Linked DNA regions of Saccharomyces cerevisiae S288C. The protein of the gene in region 2 purifies or fractionates together with the protein of the main gene of each other region. This does not show direct contact. Each region holds a gene or a part of one and is shown on either strand. Other genes may lie near its edges. The genes, in order: MOD5 and CPR3.

Region 1 (3,650 bases), on a different chromosome or scaffold from region 2:
CAGTCGACTTTGAACCCATTTTCATAGGCCATTTAAAATACTTTGACGAAGATTTAAGATACGTTAATAGTACAAAGGAAGAAAATATCAAACTTATTGAGGAAGTAAACCTAAGTAAGAAGAATAACCCCGGCAGAAGCGGGATTGAACCAAAGAAAATGGTAAGAATAGATCCCAGAGAGCTATATATTGAAGATCTGAGATATTCCTTCAAACTGCTTGATGAGGTGAAAGAAAATTTAAGTGCCGGCACAGCATTTTACGAAAATTTAATTACTTCTACCAGCAATCTGTACAATGAGGTACAGGAATATGATACAGCAAGAAGAGCAGAAAAAGCTAGGCTTGATAAGAGTTTGACATTTGAAGACCAATGATACCTGTCCTCATTCATCTATAAAGTATATTTTGAGCTTGTCATCCTCCCTTTCCATTATCAAAACCCAGCTTCACTTATGTAGATATATACACTCAGGATAAACTCCTTTTTCCTAATATTTTCATTCCACAGTCTCCTTCTTGTTTATTTTCCATTTTTCAAAATCAGCTTGACGAGTGTTTCTTTTCAAGTTGGATTTATGTCTTCTGCTACCCAAATGAATTTTCCAATATTTTTCGCCAATAGCTACAACGTTCTTACCATCTGCGTTACGACAGACGTTGCAAGTATAATGTGTCCAATCGTCCAATTTCTTCATCGTAGTTTCGCCTTTAGACAACAGCTCCTCTAGGGCTTTAGGTGCCCTTTCTTGCTTGATGGGTCGATTGCTAATAAAGTCATTGGAAATAGCTATCGCTCTTTGAGATGCATTCGTGTCCCATTGAGAAAGGTCAGTGGCATCCAGTAAGTATATATCGCCTTTGATGTCAGGTATCAGCATTTTCTTGATCCATTTTACCTGCCTTTTTGCGTATTGACGTGTTCTCGTTTTCATTCTTTCTATACAATCCTCCAATTTTACTGTGTTGTCATCAGTTTTCCCGGTTAGCCACGGTAAGAATTCTTTGAAGCCAATAACTTGCCAAACACCATTCTCGCATTGCTCCGGCGTAAATTTATTTTGACTGTAATATTCATATAATTGCTTGATTTCTTGCAAGGCGCCTCTTTCTAGCATGTCGTCTACACGATCGTCAAGCCTTTGGAAAAGTGGCTCCGGCTTACTGTATAGCCATAAAAATAGGGTATCAAACTTCAAAGTTATTTTTTGTTCGTTAAATGTCTCGCTTGGTTTTTTGCCCGTCTTATAGTAGATTTCCAACATTCGTTGTACCCTCCTGTAGTCATTAGGATGGTATTTGGTAGCTATATCAGGATCACACTTCACAAGTGTGTTATAAATCACATCAGGGTCAGTCGATTCCAAAATATCGAGCTGCTTCCTTGTGAGCTTACGTTCGGATGATTTCGTATCGACCCGCTTATTGAAAAGAGTCTGCAAATAATAATGAGTACCCCCAACAACGATGGGTATCTTACCCCTCCGGTGAATATCTTCAATAGCGTTCATGCATTCAGTTTCAAAACGATGGGAATAGTATTCTTCTGACCAATCTACGTGATTCATTACATGGTGAGGAATGCCCTCTCTTTCTTGAAGCGGATGTTTATTTGTTATAATAGGAATATCTTTATATACCTGCATAGAATCCGAATTGATAACTTCGCCATTAAATTTTTGTGCCAATTGTATGGACAACTGAGACTTTCCTACTCCTGTTGTACCAGCAATCACTATAACTTTTTTAGACATATTTAAGCAACCTTTAAGCGGTCCCTTTAGCATGAAGATTTTTGGTTCTATTTACAAAAGATATGTACGTATAGTAGCTTATCTAATAAACTATACAGCCCTCACTGAGCTTTTCTTCTTTTTTGCCATTTTAGAATTTTTTTCTGTTTTAATTTTCTTTCCGATGAGCGAAAGATGAACGTGTGCTTTCGCCTGATTCAGTAATCAAGATCTTAGATCGACGTTGCCATCGAGGAGCAGCAACATAAGGAACTTTTACCTGATTTTAGCTTATACGAGCAAAATTCGCTCTTTATCTTTCGAAGGCATGACCACAATAGCGCAAGTAGATATGTAAATAAATCTTCCTAAACCGGTCTCGGAATGCAAAGAGCTTCGTATTTCAAAATTACCCGAATCCTATACATGTCAGGAATCAGGTTATACTCCCTAGCTCTTTTCCTGTTTGTCCATCTTTTTCCTATCATAGATGGTTATGGAGGCGGCTGTTTCTGTAAGAACTACGGAGTCGCGGCCCGGAATGGGAGAAATGCGAAGAAGCAGGCCGCAAGTGGAAGAAATTATTGGGGTAAAAGATCAACTAATGAACTCTGGATATAAAAAGTACAGTTAGCGTTTCTTCCCAACTTTCTTATGCTGCTATCAGCAAATGCATTTGCATAGGCTACAAGCCACAAGCCACAAGCCAATAAGGCATATGAATAATAAGAGAAAAAGTGCCTAATTGCTGTTTATATCAACCGTATGGCGTGCTTTAGCTGCAATAAACTTGTTTTCGCCGATTACCACTAATGGCCGACTTCCACGGATCCCAAAAATAGTGCCACGTCGGTACGGTCGGGCATAGTGGTTATTATTTCCGGGTTGTGACCCGCTTCGGATAATTGATCTATCCCCGAGGTAATAGGCCCGTGCGGTTCCGTCTTCATGAAGCTGCAGGGGCTCCGCTTAAAAGCCCCTGACGGCTCACCTTAAATCCGTGTTACGACACTATGCCAAATGAAGGAAACACTGAAATGATTGCATACCCGCACTCGTGCTTACATGCTAATTGTCCTTGTCAGAGCAAACGGTACCGGAGGCTTGAATGTGTTTATGTGTATATATATATTCGCCTGTATGGAAAGTTATAGGTTGTCAATTTGTTGTACCTGACACATCGATTTTCTAGTCATCACTTTCCTGAAAATTACAGAATAAAGATACCATCTTATACACACACATACACACACAAAGAAGCATAGACATCGTATACATATATTTTAAGTTTTACTAATGCCTTCTTCTTTGACAAAAACCGAATCTAACTCAGATCCTCGAACAAACATACAGCAGGTACCAAAAGCCTTGGACAAAAATGTAACTAATAGCGGCAACTTGGATTCGACTTCTTCTTCGACAGGGTCAATAACAGAGGACGAAAAAAGATCAGAACCGAATGCAGATTCCAATAACATGACAGGGGGCGAGCCAATTGACCCAAGAGATCTCGATTGGGACGGGCCCGATGACCCAGACAATCCGCATAATTGGTCCTCTTTGAAGAAATGGTATACTACTATGACTTCAGCTTTTCTTTGTTTGGTCGTCACAATGGGTAGTTCCCTATATGTTTCTTCCGTACCAGAATTGGTAGAAAGATATCACGTTAGTCAGACTTTGGCGCTTGCTGGTTTAACTTTCTATCTTCTGGGTTTATCGACTGTCATCGGCGCTCCATTAAGTGAAGTGTTTGGTCGTAAGCCTGTCTATTTATTTTCCCTACCTGTGTCAATGCTTTTCACCATGGGTGTTGGGTTATCCAATGGCCACATGAGAATAATTCTACCCCTAAGGTTTTTATCAGGTGTCTTTGCATCCCCCGCCTTATCCGTTGGATCAGGTACCATCCTGGAT
Region 2 (3,328 bases):
AGACCCTTTGGAGAGCTTTTGTGTAATGGAGCGTAACGAAAATATCATACCATACAGAAGTTTTGCATCTTCTTCATTCTGTTTGGAGTTTATTGTACCACTTGCGCTATTGGACGCCAATGTCCATTCTCTATCAAATATACAGTTACAATGCCTATCAAAGATCCAAAATGAATATATCCCCATGCTCCACTGATTTATGATTTATATCAAAAGCAGATTATCTTACGATAGTTCTGTATTTTTTTTTTGTATTTTTTCTGTAATGTATGTTGGAACTCAATTGTCGAAAATATAAGATCCGGAAATTCTTCAACACTAGTCAATAGTAAAGGACAACATTTCGACTGAGGCAAACCAGAATAAAAGTTGGTTGATTTTTTATGAGCCAGCGAGTCTATATAAAATAAAACACTATAAACAGATATAATTCGTAGACATAGAGATAACGCATACCTTATATGCTAGAAATATGAGAGACCTTAGCTTCATATAAGCCTTCATAACTCACCAGCTTCTTCGATAACGATTTCAGCTCTTGGTTTACCAGAAGCAGTACCGTATGATTCGATTGCTTTGACAATGTCCATACCTTTGGTTACCTCACCAAAGACAACGTGTTTTCCATCCAACCATGGACAAGGCACAGTGGTAATGAAGAATTGAGAACCGTTAGTGTTTGGTCCAGCATTTGCCATAGATAACAAACCTGCCTTGTCATGCTTTTTGACAAAATTTTCGTCAGCGAACTTGGAACCGTAAATGGATTTGCCCCCAAAACCGTTAGTCAAATCAGTGTCACCACCTTGGATCATGAAGTCTGGGATGATTCTGTGGAAAGGGACACCTTTATAGCCCCAGCCCTTTTCGCCGGTACATAAGGCTCTGAAATTTTCAGCAGTTTTAGGAACCACATTATCATATAATTCAAATTCTATTCTGCCGATTTTGGTTCCATTGACCGCAGGATCAAAGAACACTTTTTTACCTAGTCTAGAAGCAGAATTGGAGAATAAGCGGGACTGTTGAATGATGGAACGTTTAAACATGGTAAGTAGACCTTTGTAGTTGCTTGCTTTTTTTTTTGTTTCTTTATGGAATTAAATAGGAAAAAAATATTGAGTTTATTAATAATCGCGGTGCGAAAGGACTAAAATAATTCTTATTGGTTATTTTGATAATAACTAAGTACAAAAGTTCAAGCTAAAAAAGCTAACTCAGCTGCCTTTTCAGGTCCCACAAGATGTTTCAGTTCATCTTCACCCTTCAAGAAGGTATGGTCCTCAAAGTCAAAACCTGGTACCACTACTTCACTAATCAAGAAACCGTTGTCAAATTCTTCGTTTGGCAGAAGGAAACTTGCCTTAAACACACCTCCGGGGACAACCCATTGCGAGACTTCTCCATTCTTATAGTCAAAACCAACTTTAAATGACTTCACTTGACCATCAGGATATACTAGAACGTATTGACCCTTGCCTCTTTGTAAGATATGTATGATCCTGTTAATATTCTTATGAAATTTCCCAATTGGGCTGTCGGGGGTTAGTAGATAATAGATCAACGTAGATTGATTTCTTGTTACCATTTCAGTATTACCTGAGCCTCCATTTACTGGTTTTTCTACTTCCATGGTGTAGGGAGACCTATCTGTTTCCTTAAAATACCCACCTTCTCTATGCTTGATTAATTGCCAATCATTGATCAATTGTTGCAAACTACTTGGTGGCTCAGGCATTGGGACTTTAACGAAACTGGCCGGCTCTATAGCTGCATTTGCAGCTTCTTGTACATTGGCTGACATGCTCTCTATGGCGAATTCTGATTGAATATACAAGTGTTCAAATTGAAAGAAGTTTTCTTATGGAGACGGAGTTGAACATTTTCTGTTTGAATTAATATACATACATAAAAACTATACTTAGAGAAAAGAATAGAAAAGGCAAAGAAATATACATGGATTTTATCAGGTTTTAAGCTTTCACGTCCTTCTTTTTATCAGCAGATTCTAATGGCACGTCAGCTTTACGTTTCTTGTTCACGCTTTCATCTATGAGGCCTTGCATAACTCTTTTATCACCTGTGATACCGTTAACAGGCCTAAAATATGGTTGACATCTCCAGTATGGAACAGTTCTATATGAACCACCCCATGATTGCTTTTCGCCGATAGTAATTTCATCCTTAATAGCGATATCTGGCTGTTCAAATATTTCTTGCACTACTTTTTCGACAGGCTTCACTACTTGTTCCTCCCATTCTTCCCACGTGGCTTTTGCATTCATAGTAGCAAGTGTTGACCTAATATCAGTATGATGCGGCAAGAAAGGCCTTAAAATCTTAAAAAAATGTGATTTCATTGCTGTCTTGGAGGCTTTAGATTCCTGGCATTCTTTGACAATCTGGAAATACTCTCTGATAATCTTATCTACGCGTGGAAATATCTTCTCCTTGTTCTTAGTTTGGCCTACATTGAAAACACCAGGATTGTATAAGTTCCCCTCAGCACTCATCACTGCGTCAGCACCGATATGTTCCATACAACGTGAAATATCTTCAGGATATAAGATATTCCCGTTAGCAAAAAACACGGTTTCTTTAGGTAAATTATCTCTTAGGTATTTGATTGTTTCCCAGTTAGCTAAACCAGTTTTTTGTCCTTTTTGCTCTCTTACTCTCCCATGGACGGTTAAAAATTGAGCTCCAGCATCCAGCACCATCTTGGCGTAATTCAAACTCTTTTCACAGTCGTCAAATATACGTATTTTTGCTGTAACTGGAACTTTCAAATTTTTGTGCAAGGTGTTGATTAAATTGTGTATAAGGTCCCATTCTTCCATCAAAAATGACCCATAGTGACCTTTCTTAGCTATGCCTTGAGGACAGCCCAAATTCAAATCTACCGCATCGCATTTATCTTCCACCAGTTTAGCTGCCGCCAATAGATACTCTGGGTCATTAGCGCAGAACTGTACAACCAACGGCCTATCTACGCTAGAGCCGTCTAAGGAAGACCAATTATCTTCTCTATATTTCTTCGAGGTAGCAAATAATTTTGCATGTAACATGGGAGTGTACGCCAAGGTTGCACCGTATCTTCTCGATAGAATACGCCATGCTAATTCGGATTGGTCTACCATTGGTGCAACGATCCTAGTAGGACGGCCGATCTTGTCAAAAAGTTGTCGACCTGTTAGTTTTTGCATCAGAGCGTTATTAGCGCTACTCAGGGCAGGTTCAGTCATATGCAGTTGATATTGTTTATTGAGCTTATTGCGAGCCTGTAAAAACTTGGATAGTATAGACGATAGCACTTTGGGAGCTAAAA

The links.
Region 1: the proteins of CPR3 (region 2) and MOD5 purify together in Saccharomyces cerevisiae (affinity purification with mass spectrometry, with the first as the bait; one large-scale study listed by BioGRID). This does not show direct contact.

The regions. Positions count from the first base shown.
Region 1 is NC_001147.6:835,811-839,460, reverse strand, and holds MOD5 (tRNA dimethylallyltransferase), read right to left. Parts: upstream 1,788-3,650; coding exon 501-1,787; downstream 1-500. Other genes in the region: RIM20 (Rim20p), read left to right, coding at 1-377; TPO4 (Tpo4p), read left to right, coding at 3,030-3,650. UniProt on the Saccharomyces cerevisiae protein: Catalyzes the transfer of a dimethylallyl group onto the adenine at position 37 in the anticodon loop on a specific subset of tRNAs both in the cytosol and the mitochondrion, leading to the formation of N6-(dimethylallyl)adenosine (i(6)A).
Region 2 is NC_001145.3:108,723-112,050, reverse strand, and holds CPR3 (peptidylprolyl isomerase CPR3), read right to left. Parts: upstream 1,050-3,328; coding exon 501-1,049; downstream 1-500. Other genes in the region: TRAPP subunit BET5, read right to left, coding at 1-186; CFF1 (Cff1p), read right to left, coding at 1,199-1,804; DUS1 (tRNA dihydrouridine synthase), read right to left, coding at 1,974-3,245. UniProt on the Saccharomyces cerevisiae protein: PPIases accelerate the folding of proteins. It catalyzes the cis-trans isomerization of proline imidic peptide bonds in oligopeptides. This isozyme is required for growth on lactate at high temperature.